Mus musculus: one gene and its partners. The protein of the gene in region 1 interacts with the protein of each later gene in a biochemical or structural test. Links are inferred from orthologs where the notes say so. Each region holds a gene or a part of one and is shown on either strand. Other genes may lie near its edges.

Region 1 (5,367 bases):
CAGAGGCAGAGACAAGCAGATCTCTGTGAGTCTGAAGTCACCTTAGTCTACGTAGTAAATTTAAGAACAGCCAGGGTTATGTAGAGAGACCCTGTCTTAAAATACAAAACAAAACAAAAAACCCCAATATTATGAAACCGTATTGCCATCTATCACATATGTGATTCTCAGCTAGCTGAATGCACCCTTGAACATGGCTTTCCCAAGCTTTCCCCTTGAACATGGCCTTTAATAAATATTCAATGCCTGTCAAATCAATGGAGTTTTTTTTTATTTACTAATTTATTTATTATATGCAAGTATACTGTAGCTGTCTTCAGACACACCAGAAGAGGGCATCAGATCTTATTACGGATGGTTGTGAGCCACCAGTGGTTGTTAGGATTTGAACTCAGGACCTTCAGAAGAGCAGTCAGTGCTCTTAACCACTGAGCCATCTCTCCAGCCCCCTCAATGGAGTTCTTAAGGAGTGGAATTAAAGGTTCATATCCCCTACCCCATCACACCCAGCCTGAGGGTTCTGACTTTTGGCACATACACAATGGTTATAATCACATGGTTATGTCATCCCTGAGACTGTACTAATTATAGAGTGTTACTTTACTATTAAAGCAGATGAGAGATCTTGACATATTGGGCAGGAATGCTTTGGTGTAAAAAATTTCACTCTACATGTCTCCTGGCCAACAGACTTTCCTTTTGCAGGGGTAGGGGGAATGTCAGCACTCACCTGTATAATAGTGCATCTATGGACAATATGGACTGTAGGATCTGAGTGATTCTATTCCTAGGGGATATAATGAGTCATGTTTTTGAATCTTGCCTGCATGGGAATTTCTAGAAAAGGTCCCCAGGTCTGAGGGGGCATGATAAGACACTGGTCCCTGATGATGTAATGGAGCATACCCATGATGGGTATCTCTCATCTCTGACAGAGTCCCATAAATGAAGGTGTCTAGCAAGGGAAAGGAAGTGGAGTGGCACTGTACTGAATTCAATAACAGCAGGGCCCTCTGGGACTTGCTGTGGATAGAGAAGTCAGAGTTCTTGGGCTTCTGGGAATTCTTCACCAGAGAAAGAATGTGGGCAGGGCTCTGTTGCCTGTGCGTCTGTGCATGGGTGCTTACGAAGCACTGATTACTCCAGCCAACAGTCATCCTCCTAAAGGAATTTGTTTTCTTACGTGTGTAAATAAGAGTACCCGGGTGTGGGTACAGATGCTCCTTCCATTCCCTGGGTTCTGGTTCACCTTGTCCAGACCTCTTCCAACTCTCCCTTCAACACAGCTATGAATCCTACTGCAGCTGAAGGCAACACATAAACATTGGACTCCTGGAACCTGACAATGCCAAAGCCTTCCTCTTTCTGAAGGTGGCATCTAAGCGGCCAGCTGAGATAAAGGTGCCATTGAATGCTGGCCTGGTCATCAAAATGTGCAAAGAACAGGGAAGGCCTCTGAGACTTCCTACACATTCTTGACCTAAGAGATGCTTAGTGGCCAGTCTTTAAATCTCGCCATGTGGGTAACCTCTGTAGGGCTACATGTTGTATTATTGAGACTAGTCTTTCAAAGCTATACTAGAATGGCAACACACTAAAACTAGTACCTATGCACAACTGTTCACTAGCATGGCCAGTATGGCTCTGAGAAAGGGCACAAAGACCAGGGTTCGTTAGAAACGAAGGTGATAAAAGTTGTGCAGACAACTTGGGGTCATTAGGGCATGTAGGGAAGATTGTAATTGCAACCCCCATCCCTGATTTCTCTAAGGTTTGTGTTCACAATAAAGCCCAGAGATGGAATTGGCTCCACAATTATCCCTTGTCCAGCAAAGGGCACCTTGAGAGAACTCATGAGGATAGCCTCAATAGACATCATTGTATTTCATTTTCTGGAGACTGGCTGGCCTGGAATTTGCTGTGTAGACCAAGCTGGTCTTGAACTCACTTAGAGATCCGCCTGCCTCTGCCTCCTGAGTTCTGGGATTAAAGGCGTGAGCTATCATACCCACCCTAAACCTAATTGTGTCCCTGCTGTAGGAGTAACTAGTCTTTCTGCCCAAGGAGCACCTATCTCACTGAGGTTTGTACACCCAAAAGCCCCAGCACCTTTTCATTTAAAAGTGATAATGTGTCAGATGGTGGTGGCACACGCCTTTGATCCTAGCACTTGAAAGAGACAGGTGGATCTCTGAATTTGTGGTCAGCCTGATCTACCGAGTGAATTCTAGGACAGCCAGGGCTACACAGAGAAACAGTCTAGGGTGGGGTGGTGATAACATGTATCCATCCTTTAAGAAATTTGGAACTCACAAGATTTGCACAGATAAACTCTTTTAATTATCCTGATAAAACTAGAATATATTAGCATCAATGTATGCATACTTTCCATCTCACAGGTGAGAATATATTAGCATGTATGTGTGGGTGTGGGCGTGGGTCTGTGGGTATGTGTGTGTATACACACACATACTCACCCCATCTCACAGGTAAGAAAAGTGAGGCACAGAGGTGAGGCCTACACCTGACCAGGGAGGAGAAAGAAGCATGATGGAGATGAAGGCTGCTCTCTCAAAGACTGCCATTACCAATATGCACTCTGCCTCTCACACTCTCACCTTAGCTCAGCCAGCCAGGGCAGGAGGGCAAGAACTTGTACTCACACCCTCTGAGATAAGTACTAGGCAAGTATCTGTATCCTTCAAACTCAGAGGAGCCCAGTAAAAGGAAGAGCTGCCCGCTATCTACATTGGGAACAAGACTAGAGAAGCTAGACATCTGCTAAAGGCCAGGGAAAGGGTGGAACTGATGCAAGCCCAGCCTGAGTTCTGCCCACTAGGTATCTCATCATCCAGTATAGGGAGAGAATGGAGACCAGGAGTGGAGAAGCGAGGAGGGGGTAAGGAGGTTGGAGAAAAGCTCCCTCCCAGGGGCTTCCTCAGGCCTGGCAGTTGCTTCTGGCTTTCTTAAGAGTCCACAGAGAACCTCCAGACTCACCCTCAGGGTTGACTGGCTGTGGAGAGGGCCCAAAGGGGCAGAGCACTCAAAGCTCCCTAGAGACCAGCCACTCTGTTACTCCCAGGCTCTCCTGCCAAGGCCTTAGACCAGGCTGCCGGTGGAAGGCATAAGATGCTATGGGAGCACTCATCAGTGTACCTACGCTTGTGTTTCAGAAGATCTGGGCGAGATGAGGGGCATTGTCAACAGTGCGATACCTCCTCATCTTCAGGCTTGGGCCAACAGGGATAAAGCTGGTGGAGATACCTCCTTAGGAGCACAGAGCATGAACTCTTACACTGCCACGTGGGCAGGTCAGGAGCAATGGAGGTAACACAGTGCCTCCAAAAGCTGAAGACCAGAAGATGACATATGAACCAGGATAAAACAATGTCTCTCCCCCACCCAACAGTGATGACGTCTTGGTGTAGCTATCTACCTGGATAGCTCAGTGGACCTCGCCATATTTAAGTTTCTCTGACTCAGCCTCTACTAGCCCAAGCCTAGAGAACATGCTTGGCAGAACTGAGCAAGAGAACAGCATACAGCTGAGGCTTCACTGGGCCAGGCGCCTACTACGGTACAGCATCACTGCCAGGAATACAGCCAAGAGTGCACTGGTGGCCCCAAGCCACTTAGCCCAGGGCATTGAACTGGCACAATGTTCTTCCTCTTCTTGGGGCTGCTGGGTGGCTAGTGGCTCAGGGCTTCCTAATAGATCAGCACTGGGGCTTTCGTCTACCTGGATTCTAAAGGACGAATACTCATTCTCCTCTGGACCATGGTTGGGTTCTGAGACCAAGGAGCTGCTAGGGCTAATGGCAAGGTCCACAGAGCAGGCTGAGAATGGCTCGTCCAACTGGGATACCAGCACACCTGGCTTGCTCATCTCTGGTCCAGAGTGCAAGCTCCTGATACTGCTATTTGGTCCAGTCTGGTTGCCTCCAGTGGTGACTTTGGTTGCTGGACCCTCCGGGGTCTCCTGGAAACATAAGAAGAGGGGTCCAGGTGACAGGGAGATAAGCCAGAGTGTATTGAGGGCTTGAGTTAGTATCTCACAATAGTCGAGACTACCCTCTCTTGGGGACTCAACACATTAGGACACAGCTGAGTGGGAGGTGACCCCTTCTAGGGCAGCCCTCTTCTTCTCACCAAACTGCTGTGAGCTCTACTGCAAGGGAGCCCTTGCTTGGGGTGTGAACCACCTTGTGCTACCTGGGCCTGAGAGCCACAGGGCAGGCACAAGATCCCAAGGTGTATGGTCTTGGGGAAAGTGACTATAGGGGTCAGGAGGTTGAAGGAACTGCTCCAAGCAGGATGCTTGAGACCACTGTCAAATGAACAGGGCACTAGGACATGTGATCCACCATGTTCACTCCTCACTACTCCATCTACTAAATGGTACTGCTGAGCTTCACTGGGGTCTTTGAGCTCCAGATGAGTTAATACACATCAGCGGGGGTAGCCCCACCCTGCTAGAGGTCCCTCCTTAGAAGTGTTCATGTTTATCAATCCTCTTAGAAAACAAGGTGCAAGGGCTGGGTGGGGCTGCTCCCCATCTGTCCCAACACCTTGAAGAAACAGACGAGGGACCGCACAGAAAGTAAGAGTCTGAGGACAAAAGATCAGCTGTCTTGGCAAGGTAGCCCGAGTCACTCTCAGGAACAAGGACTCACCTTGGCTTGCTTGCTGTTCCTCTCAGGTGGTATTGTGTTGGCAGGTGCTTTGGCCACACTAGCAGGCACTCTGGATGGCACTGTGCCCGCATACACTGAGTTGCTGGGTAATTTTGATGGCGCTGTATTGGTGAGCACAGTAGACGTCATCGCAGCAGTGGACTTTGAACTGAGGGGCAACTTGGAAGACATGGTTTTTACTGGGACCAATCTGGGAGAAGGCACTGAGCTGGTAGTCACAGAATTGGTGAGTGTAGTACTGAAACAGGTGGCAGCTTTGGCCTGGTCACCAGCTCCCTTTGCAAAAGCTGATCCAGTGGACGAGGAGGACAAAGAGGTATCAGCAGATAGGGCTGATACTGTGACCCCAGACAAGAGGTTTGTCCTCAGGGCAGTACGTGGAAGGGGCTGGAAGGAAACGGTTGGAGACACAGGTCCATAGGTTGCTATGGGAACAGAGGCAACATCTACAGGTGGGGAAGACAAAAGCAGAAACAAATGCAAAGGGTGGTTTTAACTTAAGGGCTAGAGAAGGGTCCCCATGTCCTTGATCACATGGTCCCTTCCACATCCTGTCTCCCAATCTCCTCCTGTGGAGAAGACTCTTGCACCTCAGCCGTTACCTTGAAACCCTCATCTGTCCCATCACCAAAGTAAAATGGGCTCTACCTTCATCTGCACCCAGAAGTTTAAA
Region 2 (6,480 bases), about 24 Mb from region 1:
GCTCTGTGACCCTGCACCTGGTCCTGCCATCCATTACATCATCTCCCCGCACTGCCCCTCTCACCACAGGATCTCTGGTGTTCCCACTGCCTGGAACATTTCCCCCTAGTCGGTACCTAACTCCCCTTCATCTGCAGTAGGCTCACTTTCTCCAGATTAGGTCCTGACCCCTTAACCTCTCTGATGACAAACTCATTCCAACTGTAACTTCCCATTCAACTGTGTGGCACTTGGTGGGAATGTCGCTTCTGCTAAGGATGATCCTGAGTGCTTCTGCCACTGTGGCATTTACCTGCCCCAACTCAGTCTGACCACAGAATCAAAGGAGCCAACAATCTCAGTTTGCTGTCACCCTAAATAGAGTCCCAGAGAGGAACAGGGTTCGTCTATTTGCACACTTGACCCCAAAGTCCACAACCCTATTCAGCCCAACATGCCTAAGACTGGAGTAACTGAAGCTGGCAGGGGAGTGCCCTGCCTTACCAAAGGAGGGCAGGCACAGTATTGGACATACCAGTTCTCAAAAGTTTATAGGCTCCAAGAGGACTAGCACCAACCACCTCTTAGTTCACACAGGAAGACTAAGGCCTAGAACATGGCAGGCACTTAGTGAGAGGGAGACAGATCAGAGGTTGACCTAAACCAAAGATGTAGGTCTTCCAGTCCTGTCCTGGGCAGCTGTATACTTTTCTGAAGATAGGAGAGCAGCTAAGAAGACCTTGGAGGGGCCAAAATCAGATAGTCTCTGGACTCATTCCTGCCATTCTCTCACTGGAGGGCTAATGGCCTATTTACAAATAGGGAAACTGAGGCTGGAGGCATTCAATTAGTTGGACCAGAGCCATACCTGGAAGGCTGGACTTGGATATACACCCTTAAATGTGTGACGTCCCAAGAGCCCACCCACAAAAGGACACAGGGCCCTGTAGCATATCAGCAAGTGACCAGGCAGCTGTTGGTCAGCCTGGCTCAGGCAGTAGATAGTGACCTTGAACCCTGAGGTCTCCTCACCCAGACCCTGTGTCGGGGTGGGTGAGGGGCACATGCAGAATCAGAATTCACAACTCATCGCGGTGATGAGCTGGCCAGGTCATAGGAAGGAAAATCCTACCAGTCACATCCAGAAATAACTTTTTTAACAGGTGAGTAATGTTGGCAGTAGCTTGATAGTGGTGGTACATGCCTTCTTCAGTCCCAGTGCTCGGGAGACAGAGGCAGTCGGATCTTGTGAGACTGAGATCTGCCTGCTTCTGTCTTCCAAGTGCTGGGATTAAAGGTTTGTACCACCATCACCTGACAAACTGTTTCCAAGGTAGAGTTCCTGGGCTGCCTGTTATGGGAGAAATGGGCAATTTTGTGTTCTGAGTTCCTGGATAGATGGTTTCTCTAGGGAAGGCTAGATGGGGAGTGCCTGTGGGCAGCGGCAAGGTGCACGCACCACTGTAAGAACACGGGTCTGGACTCTCACGTATGAAAGTATAAAGCAGGAAAAGGGAACAGAAGGCAGGATACAAACAGCTGCCAGATGACCGGTAAGATCGTTCAGGGCCAGGAGCGTGCCAAGAGGGAAGGAGGTCCCTAGGCAGAATTATAGATTGGGAGATGCCAGGCAGGCACTAACCTGCCTGTCTAACCTGGCAAAGGGTAGCATTCAGTAAGGTGCCTTGTGGCTTCTCACACTCTCTTTCCTTGCCAGATCCTGCTCATCTCTGACTACTTCTATGCCTTCCTGCGGCGGGAGTATTACCTCACACACGGCCTCTACTTGACTGCCAAGGACGGCACTGAGGCCATGCTTGTGCTCAAGTAGCCCTGGCTGGCACAGCGCTGCATGGACAAGAGGGGGAAGGGCCAGAAGCTGGGCCAGGTCCCTCATCCAGAGTTGCCAGCAGGCGCGTCCTCAGGCAGAAGAAGTTCAAGTCCAGGGTCACAAATCTCTGGCACCAAAGGGGACTCATAGCTGGCAACAAGGCCCATGGGGAGAAGCTAGGAGCACCCCACTTGGACCCCCACTTTGTGACTGTGCACAGAAAGGAAGCAGCCGGTGAGCAGGGCTTTATAGGTTGTGACTACTTAATAAATGTGTGGATCTTTTTTTTTTCATTGTTGTTCTGATGACATGTATTCCTGGAGTGGAGTGAGCTTGGCCCCCTAATACTACGTGCTATCCTGTACTAAGGAGTGGGTTTCTGGGAACACGCGTCTGTCTCTGTGTGTGAACACAGTCACCTAGCAGCCCTCCCTGCTCCCAAACAAGCAGCTGGAGGCAAAGGGCCAGGCAGGCCTGAGCAGTCTTTATTCTTTCTGCAGAGGAAATGACCACAGATCCATACACCGAGTCAGGACAAGGGGAGCCAGCCTTTCAGGGGTGGGGCAGGTCCTGGCAGGAGGCAAAGCCTCAGGTGGATGAGGGGCAAGATGGGCAGACAGGCAAGGGCCTAACAAAATGACAAACCCCACAGAGCAGGGATGCTGCTCCCCACCCACTCCCAACCCAGCCAGCACCCAAAAGAGCAACCCGAACATGACTGGCCCAGGACCTACCCAGGATGTGGTAGGCTGGCTGGTGGCCCCTACCTGGGGGGGGGAGTGGGTGTCACATCTCTGCCTAATCCACTGGGGACTGAAATAGCTTAGTTTAGGAGCCAGGACCTCCCTGGGGAGAACCTGACCAGAACTCCCAGCCACCCCCCTCCCCTCCTCTTGACTCAGAAGCCGAAGGTTTCTTGGGAGGCGTAGACCATGTAGAGGAATCCGTCTTCATCCTTCTCCTGTTCATAGATGTCAGCGATGGGTGTGGAGACGCTCACCATGCTGTGCTGGTTGACCAGCAGGAAGAAGGCCTGCGTGGGGTTGAGTTGCAGGCGGCGCCTGTGGAGGCAGGCAGGCATGCCAGGTGAGGAGGCTGCCTGCTGGAGGCCTAGGTGACCCTCCCAAAATGTTACTGAACCTTCACTTTCGGTCCATCTCAGCCAGAGGCTCTCACCTCTACTGAAGCTCGTCCCAACCCCGACCTTGGTCTTTTCCAGCCTCCTAGAACAGGGGCCCGGTGTCCCAAATCAGTCCCCTCGCCCCACTCCATCCCTTCTTGTGGAACCTGACCCTGCCCCACCCAAGGCCTGTAGGAGGCTGCCCACGCACCGGATGATCTTGACCAACTCGCTCATGTTAACATGGTCTGGGACCAGAAACTTGGTCTTATCCAGGACAGGCAGCTGCTTCTCACCCTTGTAGCGCTCGATGATCACCTGGAGTGGAGTGGGCGGGGGACTCGTAAGCCAAGGGCGGGACCTGGCAGGGCAGGGCGTGGCTGGGGGGTGCTAGAGACTCACCGGGATCTTACTGGGGTGCTGGTCGCGGATCTGCTGCACCTCCTTACAGCGGTCGGCTGCGGACAGAGCTCTGTGTGAGGCCCAGCGGTGCTGAGGCCTCCCGCGACTCCGCCTCGCTGATCCCCGAGGGGCGGCTCCCGGCCCGCCCCGCCCCAGCGCCCGCCCCCGGGGCCGTCGGCCCCGCAGCCCTCCACCGGGGGGACGCGGTAGGGAGGCGGGCGACCCTGCCAGGCCTTGCGGCCTCTCCACCCGGGGTCCGGCCGGCCGGTGCCTGACGTCATGGGGCTGACGTCACCTGCGGCAATCGGGGTCGACTGGCACCCCCATCCCTCGATCCCCGATGGCAGTTCGCCCCCCAGGGCCTCACCGAAGCTGCGCCGCTGCTTGAAAGGCCGGTCGGAGGGCATCGCGCGGGCCCGGCGGGGCGCGCAGCCGGGGCTCCGGGGTGCGCGGCTCAGAGATGCGTCTGCGGTTCGGCGCGCCGGGGGCTCCGGGGCTCGAGCTCAAGGGCTGCGGGGCTCGCGCTGAGCCTGGCGGTGGCGGCTGCGGGAGGTAACTCGCCTGGGTGACGTCAGGTCACAACATTCCTTAAAGGGGAGGCCGGCGCGCCGCTCCCATTGGGCCGACGGAAAACCCGCCTGCCTGGACCTGTGACGCCACGGCGCAGACAGCCCGGATTCCCGGCGCAGGTCGTAAGGAGGCGGAGCTCCAGGGCGCGTCACAGTTCTGTGACGTCACGATGGCAAGCTCCTCTCTTTGGCGCCACAGACTCAGAAGCCAGGCATTTGTCGCCTCCATCCAGTCTCTCGACGCTGCGGAGTAGTTCACCGCACCTTCATCGAGTTTAGCATTCGAGAAGGAAGGTGGAGCGGGGAGAGGATGGAACACCCAGAGTTTTAAAATTTTTAATGTGTCTGTAAGTGTATGCCCGCGGATGCAGAACATAGCATCGGATTTCCTTAGGCTGGAGTTAATCGCACTGCTGGGAATCAAGCTTAGGTCCTCTGAAATAATAGCAAGGGCTCTTAATTGTCGAACCATTGCTCCAGACCCCCCACCCAGGCTTTCAAAGAATTCTGGAACAACCATAGAAAGCATAGATTTCCAGAGTGAGGTTGGTTAATAGGTGGTTTAGATAAAGCAGGAGAGAATCGCTGAATGGGGGGGCTATATCAGAAGTGGTTAACCATGAGATGGAGAACATTCGGAACTGACAACACGCGAAGTCAGATTTTACAGGTAGAGCCCCTTGGTAGGATAGAAAGAAGTATGGTCTGGGAATGTTACCGAGGGTCAGGGTAGGATACTTGCCTAGCAGATGGAAGGCTTAAGTTCAGTATCTCAGGTTTTGCGGGAGGTGGAGGGGATAGAGGGACTGGACGGACACGGAGAGGCGGCCCCTTGAAGAACTTTAAAAATCGATTGAAAGCCAGAATCAATGCCAGATGTAGCTGGCTCTCATTTGTAGTCCTAGCTCTATGGGAGTTTGAGGCAGGAGGATGGGCTAGAGTTGAAGTAAGGAAGAAAAAAGATAAAACAAAAGAATTTACAAAGGACCATTGTTTGAAAAAAAAAGTTAGTTTGTACTTCAGAAACATACAGCTCAAAGGGAAGAAATTTGATGGGAACCAAGTTAACAGATGCACGCTTGAGTAATTCTAAACAACTGCTTATGGACAGAAATGGTAGTGATTGGTACAAAAACAAGCTGCTAAGGTAACAAGAATTCAGCTGAGATTGCCTTAAAGAGGCTGGGTGGCGGTGCCTCCTTAACCCCAGCTCTGTGGGCAGAGACGGGATGGTCTCTTGAGTTCAAGGCCAGCCTGGTCTAGATAGTGAGACCTTGTGTTTTGGGTTTTGTTTTGCTTTTTAAATGTCTTAGGGAGCTGGATTTGTTTGGAAAGATATTATTGTCTGCTTGGTCAGGTAGGGTGCTTGCCCGCAAGCATGAGGATGTGGGTTCAATTTTCGGAATATGTTAGATCCTAGAGGCTCCACCTACAAAGGGATTCAACCAGGCCTTATATCCCATCTCTACCTTCTCCAGGCAGCTCAATGCCTGGTATGTGGCAGCCCCAAATTAGGGTGGGGCGGTAGGATTACTTCCCTAAATTATGACCTTAAGTCCTATTTAGTGCCTTCACTAACCTTAGACACCTTCCCCTACAAGAAAATCTGTTAGTGCAAGGATTAGCCTTTGTTTTGAGGTTTCTGCAATGTTCTGGCTTCCCTTTCAGCAAGTGACAGGATTACTAAATCTGTCTCAGGACATCTCTCTACTGAATCCGAGAAGAATTTTTTTTAATATTTTAAATATTAAAATATTTTCTGTCTATGGTGGTAGAAGAACAACTTCCACACAGCAAATAGATAAATGTAAAAAAAAAAAAAAAAAAGACACAGCAGGAAAGATCATTAAGAGAATAGAAATGGGGCTGGAGAGATGGCTCAGGGGTTAAGAGCACTGACTCCTCTTCTAGAGGTCCTGAGTTCAAATCCCAGCAACCACATGGTGACTCGCAACCATCAGGAATAAGATCGGATGCCCTCTTATGGTGTGTCTGAAGACAGCTACAGGGTACTCACATATACAAAATAAATAAATAAGTAAATCCTTTAAAAAAGAGAGAGAGAATAGAAATGTAAAATATGGTTTTAAATACTGAAAGGGTGGGTAGTGAAGGGCTCTGAACCATGGGAGCCAGAAGCGGATCATGTAGGAACGTAAATAGGAAGGTAAATAGCACAGACCTGGAGGAGTCTCGTACTCACCTATAAAAACGCCACATCCTTGGGGTGCGGCTCAGTGGGTAGAGTACATGCCTCCCATGCAGGACACCCTAGGTTTGATCTCAGCTTCACATAGATTGGACATGGTGGCACATGCCTGTCATCCCAAATTTTAGGACTCGCCAAGAAAAGTAAGAAGAAGGAAGGCCATAGTGTTTACAAGAGGCCACAGAGGAACAATGTATCATATATGTGTAAAATGGCAAAGTGAGACCCATGTCTTTGTGTTGTAAGTAAAAAGTTAATAAAAACGTAAAATGTAGGCCAGTGAGATGACTCTAGGTGCGAGTTCATTCCTGACAACTGTGTGGTGAAAGGAGAGAGCCAGTTTCTGCAGATTGCTCTCTGACCCTCAGAC
Region 3 (7,292 bases), on another chromosome or scaffold:
GGTTCTCAACCTTCCTAATGCTGTAACCCTTTAATACAGTTCTCATGTTATGGTGACTCCCACCCCATACCATAAATTATTTTCATTGCTAGTTCATAACTGTAGATTTGCTACTGTTATGAATTGTAAAATAAATATTTGATATTTCTGATGGTCTTTTGTGACTCCTGTTAAAGGGTTGTTCAACCCCCAAAAGGGGTCATGACCCACAGGTTGAGGACCTCTGGGTTAGGTGAAGAAGAACAGCAGTTGGTGGATTATTTCAGGAAAGTATGTGATTAAAAAAAAAAAAAAAAAAGCTGGGGGTGGTGGCGCACGCCTTTAATCCCAGCACTCGGGAGGCAGAGGCAGGCGGATTTCTGAGTTCGAGGCCAGCTTGGTCTACAAAGTGAGTTCCAGGACAGCCAGAGCGATAAAGAGAAACCCTGTCTCGAAAAAACCAAAAAAAAAAAAAAAAAACCCAAACAGACTTTAAAAATGAGGCTTAAGGGGCTGGAGAGATGGCTCAGAGGTTAAGAGCACTGACTGCTCTTGCAGAGGTCCTGAGTTCAGTTCCCAGCAACCACATCATGGCTCACAACTGATGCCCTCTTTGGATGTGTCTGAAGACAACTACAGTATACTTGTATTCATAATAAATAAATAAATAAATTCTTTCTTTTTTTGTTAAATGAGACTTATTAGGAGAAAGGGCCTTGGGTGGAAGAGCTATAGAAAGAAATACCACAATATGTCAGAGACAACAGAATGGAGCCTTATGGGGAAGGAGAGGCTACTCTCTGAAACCTGGTGAGGAGCTTTATCAAATGTGATACCTTAAAGTAAGAAAGATAAGGGTCATGGTTGGGATGATGGCACTGAAGGGAGTGTCAGGGAAATTTCTCTAAAGGAAAGTATCTGACTATTATATCAATTCAGGAAGCCCATAGGCTTTTTCAAAATTTAGATTTATGTAACAAAAGGCATTGAGCAGCCAGGTATTTGGAGCTGTTAGACCATAATGTAACTCAGATTCTTAACTGTCTTTTAGAAAACTGGTGTGTGTGTGTGTGTGTGTGTGTGTGAGAGAGAGAGAGAGAGAGAGAGAGAGAGAGAGAGAGAGAGAGAGAGAGAGAGAGAAATAGAGAGGGAGAGAAATAGAGAAATAGAGAGAGGAGAGAATCTATTTATTCACATAGGACTCACCTTTAGTAGCTCCATGGATGATGATTGCAGCCTTATTTTCAAGGATTTAGTGAGCTTCCTTAGAGAGTTCAGCTGCTTCTCTGTCACAGTGACATATTGTCTCAACTGCTTGGCTCCCTGCTGCTCCAGCCAGTCCAGCCTGGACAGGAGGAAACTCTCTTCCTCATCTAGTCTCTGGCGCAGGAGCTTGAATTCCTCATGGATCTTTAGTTTCTCTAGATCCACCTGGGCCTGGGGACGAAGGAGAGGATGCAGATATGAGATGACCATGAGAAGGGTCCTCCAAGCCTCCTTTAAATTCATAATTCCCATCCTTCTTTTTCTTTCTAGGCAGAGTCTCACTATAAAGCCCTAGATAGCCCAGAACTCGTTAAGTACAACAGGATAGCCCTGATTTCCACCTGCCTTTGCCTCCTAAGTGCTGGAATTAAGGGCGTGCACCACCACCTGGCACCACTCATGCTTTAAGAGTATTTAAAGATTACACTGAGACCAATTCAGAAGAGCTTCTGGGCATACCTGTTGGAAAGGGGAAGCAAAGTATTTACAGATTTAGGCCAGATGGCATGCTTTCATTTGCCTTAAGGCCACCAGCCAGATGTGCTGGTGCACAAGTAGGCAATCTCAGCACTTCAGGAGGTTAAGACCAGGCTCAACTACTTGAGCCACCATCTCCACAAAAGACAGACAATATGACCATTGAAAACCCAGGGTAAGGGTGGAGTTCAGTTGATGGAGTGGTTGCTTGGCATGGGTGAAGCCCTGGGTTCAATCCTCAGCACTGTATAAACTGGGCATGCTATTATAGCCCTGTAATCCAGCACTGGGAGAAAGACAGAGGCTTGGAAATTCAAGGCTATTCTTCTCTACAAACAATTTCTAGCTTGGGCTAGATCAGATTCTCTGTCTAGGAGCTGGAGAGTGAGTTGTTTAGACCACTTGCTGCTCTTGCAAAAGACTCAGATTCAATTCCCATAACCCACAAAGTATCTTATGCCCTCTTCTGGTCTCTACCGGTAGGTACCAGGCATTTATCTGGTATACATATTTTATGTTAGCAAAGCATTCATTCATAAACAATAGATCTATAAATAAATAAATAAATAAATACATAAATAAATACATAAATAAATAAATAAATAAATAAAAGATTGTCTTAAATGTCAATGGGAGAAAACCACAAACAAATGAATGAAAGAAAGATAAAGAAAGAAGGCTTTTCAGCTTAACTGCCTTCATAACTGAATTTTCCGTGGATGTAACAAAAACCAGCCAGCCAAGTCAACAGCATCTGGGAGATGGTGATGGCATTCCCAGGGGGCAGGGTCAGCATTTGGGATGTAAACCAACCAACAAACGAATAAAATAATGCTTTCAACTCTTCCAGAATTCCGTTCCTAGCATCTGTGTAGGGCAGCTCACAAGTGCCTGTAATCCCAGTTCGTCTGGTCTTTTCCAGTATTCACACGAATGGCTTTTACTCATATGCAGACACATACATATACACACATATAAAAATAACAAAAATAAAACTTTTTTTAAAACATGCAAACAAAATGAGGTGGAGATGTTCAATGGCGTCATAGTCTCTGTCGTTTCTTACTGTGGGAGTCTCTAGTTAGAAAGGGCTTGGGTGAGCCAGTGTGTGGGTGTTCTCTACACAGCCTGCTGTGGGTGGAGGAGCAGAAGACCTGGCACAGCATTCAGGCAGTAGTTAGCACAGCTAGGGAGCTTGGCTCGGGAGCACGGCTCAGGCACCATACACCCTCTGCCCTGCCCCTCACCACCACGTCAGCAGGATTTTATTCCTGCTTGCTGTATAAAGGAAGGCTAGGAGCTTCATCAGCAATGCCTCAGTTTCCCCAGAAGTGTTTGGAATGAGCATTTCTTACCCTGAACGCCCAGATTGCCCCTTCACCTTGTTTTTTCTCTTCAATTATTTTCTTGTCCTTTTGCCCCAAATCTTGGGCCTGTGACTCAATCTGCACCTGTAAGGAGAGGGTGCTTCAGCCAGGCTCTGACTCTTGAGAGGCAGGGAAGATGTTCCAGGGTACTGATGTCATTATTAGCAGTCCTCCCTGGCCCCCATCTCTCGATAGGAACAAGGAGGTGATGGAAAGAAATGGAACTTTAGTGACTTGAGAAAATACTACTAATGATCATTTGGATGGCGCTTTGGTATTCTCAGGGGAAGACTTCTCCTCATCCGTCCTATCACATTCTTTAAGAGATAGGTTTCATCTGCCTCACAGAGAGGCAGGGCCAGGACCAACCAGGGGATGGAGCTCTGTGGTAGAAGAGCACTGGCTTATCTGGATGTCTCAGGCTCTGCTTTGTAAGTTAGCAGTGGCTGGACTTGAATGAGACCTTCTGAGTTAAAATTTGCACTTAACAAAGAGCACACATGAGCTGGCCCATAGTCCCCACTACATATGTATCAAAGAACCACCGTGTCTGGCCTCAGTGGAAGGGGATGCGTTTGGTCTTATGGAGGCTTGATACCCCAGAGATGGGGGATGCTAGAGGGGTGAAGTGGGAATGGGTAGGGGGCATTACCCTCTTAAAGGCAAAAAGAAAGGGTGGGATAGGGTGGAAAGATCATGGAGGGGAACCAGAAAGGGTAATGTTTGAAATGTAAATAAAAAAAATAATTAATAAAAAATTATGTTTAAAAATTAGTACATTATTAATTGTGTGTGCAAGTTCAGCAGAGTGCTATGGTGTGTGTGTGTGTGTGTGTGTGTGTGTGTGTGTGTGTGTCTGTGTTTATGTGTATGAAGACAACTTTCAAGGGTGAGTTCTCTCCTTTTATTTTGCATGTCCCAGGGATCAAACCAATTTTCTCCTTCTACTATGTGGGTCCTTATGGTCAAGACAGGCACTTTTACCCTCTGGGTCATTTCGCCTGCCCCTAGAGTACTATTCTGATTCTTCGTCTTGCTTTGGTTACAGACTGGCATTTTCTAGAACTCAATTCTTTGAGCCCACTGGACCTGGCTATAAATGGCCAACTCAAGTACAAAGAGTACAGCAATGGGTGTCAATCAACTGGGGCCTCCCCAGTGAACTCTACTCTGCTGGGCTGGGGGCAGAGAAGGGCCCAGGTGCCTACCTTGTAGTTCTGGGCAGCCTCATCTATCAAGGTGACATTGTGAGACTTGTGGTCCTTGGAGTCACGACACACCACACAGAGGAATGCCCCATCCTGCTCGCAGAAGTAATGTAGCTTTTCCTTGTGCCTCTGACATCTTGAGTCTTCCTTTTCTGCTTGGATGTCAGCAGGATCCATACTTTGGATCTTCTCTGCAAGACTAGCCAGCAGCTTATTGGGCCTGAACGTATTCTTATTCACAGAGAGTTTGCAGAGAGGACATTGGATCTTTTCTGACGTTTTTCCAACCTGACTGATACACTGCAGGCAGAAGTTGTGCCCACAGTCAATGGTGACAGGATCTTGTAGAATTTCCATGCAGATGGGGCAGGTCACCTCCTCCTGCAGTTGGCAGGCCAGAGGTTGGCCTGCCATGATGGAACAGCAGGGCTAATCTGAGATGTGAAAGTACAGAAATCCAAGGCCTGGTGCTTGTAAGAGAGAAGGAAGCAGGAGGCAGAGGTTGAAGAGTATCTCAGGGAGAGGATTAGAGGAGAATGAGGGAAGGGGGGGTTAAATAAATAATGACAGAAAAGAGTCAGCGATAAATGGGGAATATTCTAAAGAGAAGAAAACAGATGGTCAGTCCTCTCTCCCTGTCTCTCAAGAACAGAAACCGAGAGTGCCTGCTGCCTATAAAGTAGAGCAAGACTTCCTGGACCTTGAACTAATTAAACATATCTTTCTGAAGCAGATTCAGAGAACAGAAAGACGAAGTGACAAAGTCCACTCAGGTGTAATTGGGGAGTGGAACTGATCGCTGGCAGCCCCAGGAAGGCTTGTTACCACCCCAGCAGATCTCTCACTCCCAGACCCTGCCTTCTGTTGGGTATTCCTTCCTGTCTCTGGTACCCCAGCATCTTTGAGTCATCCTTTGTTCTGTTTGGCCTGTCTGTTACTTCCTCTGTCTCTGTACTTCTCAGATTCCCCACCTACCCACACACACACACATCAGCTTGCCTGACCTGTGGACTTTAGCTTGACAAGGAAAGTATCAGCCAGGGTCACCGACATTTCCATTAGTAGCTCAACACTTCTTAACCCTTCCTCTTGCTCTTTTGTGCCCAGGAAGACGGTGCTCCCTCCTTCCTCCCTCTCCATCCCCACTAACCTCTCCTCTCTTCTGTTCTGTCATTAAAACCCAAACTGTTAATTTTTAAATAAAAATGTTTTAGATTTGTGTATTTTAATTTTACTCACATGAAAGTTTTGCCTGCACACACACACGCACACACACACACACAGAGTTAGTATTAATTGTATGCAAATGGTATGGGACCACCCACTGGAGCATAGGCCACTACAATGCCACAACCCCAGAAACTATCAATTGCCAATAGCTCCTCAGTGTGAGGTGGGGCCATATGAACCCTTTCCTATTTAGGTTGGAAAGTTGACTGGCCTGGTCTTATACAGGCAACCAATGTGTTCATAGGGCAAGGCCATTGGCAGGTCACACAGGGTGTGGAGGATTTTATGGCTATAGCCCCAACAATAGTTCCTTGTCATTTGCCAGGGACAGTCTTGGCTTTACCTTTGTCCCCTCATAAATGTCAACAGCCCTTCCTTTCATTCTCAAAAGTATCCACTCATATTATAGAGGTTACTTTGATTACAGCAACTACTGAAAGCTGAACACTTTCAGAAATACTACACCTACACTTCTCAGCCTTTTGGCTAAGATCAAGTGTAGAAATACCAGACCTCAGGCCTGTCTATTTCATTCACTTTAAGGTTGAATTAAAGCAAATATTTTTGTAAGGTTTTATAACTTGCATTCATACTCAGCTGTCAGATCTAGAGGTAAAATTTAATTTATTTTAAATTAAATCATTTCTTTGATTTAAAAAATTTATCTTCAGTATTGCTATTAGTAATTTTTTTATGTGTATAGGTATTTTGCCTGGATGTGTCTGTGAACCACATGCAATACTCATGGAAGCCAGAAGAGGGCATCTGGGTCTCCTGGAGTTGGAGTTACAGAGAGTTGTGAGCTGCCCCTTGGTCACTGGGAATATAACCTGGTTTCTCTGGAAGAGCAGTCAATGCTCTGAATCATCTCTCTAGCCCCCAGAATTTAATTTTCAGGCAAGTTTTGTTTTGTGTGTATTGTGCTTAAAAAACAATGACAAATCAGAATACGCTGATGAGGGTGCCTCTTTTTTTTTTTTTTTTTCCTTTCTTTTTTGTATATATTATTTCACTTACGTCTCACTTCTAAATCTTCAATATCTGTTGTTCAGGGAACTGAGCATGTTTCAGGGTCACCTAGAATGTGTAAGACCCAAGGCACAAAGACAGACATGCATGAAATCCCAGCACTGGGAAAGTAGAGACAAGAAGATTAGGAGGCTGAGTCCACACTGCCCTTACAGAGGGCTATTTCTCCCCAGCCCCTGTTTAGAGATTTTTTTTTACATGGATTTGGGGCGTTTTGACTTTTGCCTCTGCAGAAAACCTTAAGTTTTTCTGCCAAGTACTGAAGGTCAATGACTTGTATATTGTTAAATCCCTATTGCAATGCTAAGGTGCATTGTGAGACTTTCTTTGGAGATGCAAATATTTTATCAAAGTCAACAAGAGTTCAAAGGGTCCTGTGTACTCATGAAGCTCATCTGTCAATCAACCCCTTAGTAATGTAGACTGTAGGGGCGGGAGAGGTGGCACAGCGGTTAAGAGCACTGACTGCTCTTCCAGAGGTCCTGAGTTCAATTCCCAACCACATGGTGGCTCACAACCAACCGTAATGGGTCTAATGCCTGTTTTGGTGTGTCTGAAGACAGCAAGAGAGTCATACATTAAAAAAAAAAATCTAGAATGTGTTTTTTTCATTTGAATTCAAACTTTAATTCAGTGTTTCTCAACCTGTGGGTCTTGCCCATCAGAAAACACATATTCCCAATGGCCTTAGGAACTGAGACACTGCTCCTCCATAAAATTACAATTATAGCAACAA

The links.
Region 2: the proteins of Mavs (region 1) and Map1lc3a form a complex in vitro, tested with the Homo sapiens proteins (2 studies listed by BioGRID and IntAct, with this or other methods). The link is inferred for Mus musculus from reciprocal best matches to the Homo sapiens genes MAVS and MAP1LC3A.
Region 3: of the proteins of Mavs (region 1) and Trim31, one has a biochemical effect on the other in vitro, tested with the Homo sapiens proteins (2 studies listed by BioGRID). The link is inferred for Mus musculus from reciprocal best matches to the Homo sapiens genes MAVS and TRIM31.

What each region holds. Positions count from the first base shown.
Region 1 is NC_000068.7:131,244,976-131,250,342, reverse strand, and holds the end of Mavs (mitochondrial antiviral-signaling protein), read right to left. Parts: intron 5,141-5,367; coding exon 4,674-5,140; intron 3,980-4,673; coding exon 3,554-3,979; 3' UTR 2,318-3,553; downstream 1-2,317.
Region 2 is NC_000068.7:155,273,866-155,280,345, reverse strand, and holds Map1lc3a (microtubule-associated proteins 1A/1B light chain 3A), read right to left. Parts: upstream 3,983-6,480; 5' UTR 3,740-3,982; coding exon 3,700-3,739; intron 3,389-3,699; coding exon 3,333-3,388; intron 3,249-3,332; coding exon 3,142-3,248; intron 2,872-3,141; coding exon 2,709-2,871; 3' UTR 2,273-2,708; downstream 1-2,272. Other genes in the region: Pigu (phosphatidylinositol glycan anchor biosynthesis class U protein precursor), read left to right, coding at 1,697-1,810. UniProt on the Homo sapiens protein: Ubiquitin-like modifier involved in formation of autophagosomal vacuoles (autophagosomes). While LC3s are involved in elongation of the phagophore membrane, the GABARAP/GATE-16 subfamily is essential for a later stage in autophagosome maturation.
Region 3 is NC_000083.6:36,895,773-36,903,064, reverse strand, and holds the start of Trim31 (E3 ubiquitin-protein ligase TRIM31), read right to left. Parts: upstream 4,936-7,292; 5' UTR 4,712-4,935; coding exon 4,298-4,711; intron 3,174-4,297; coding exon 3,078-3,173; intron 1,417-3,077; coding exon 1,186-1,416; intron 1-1,185.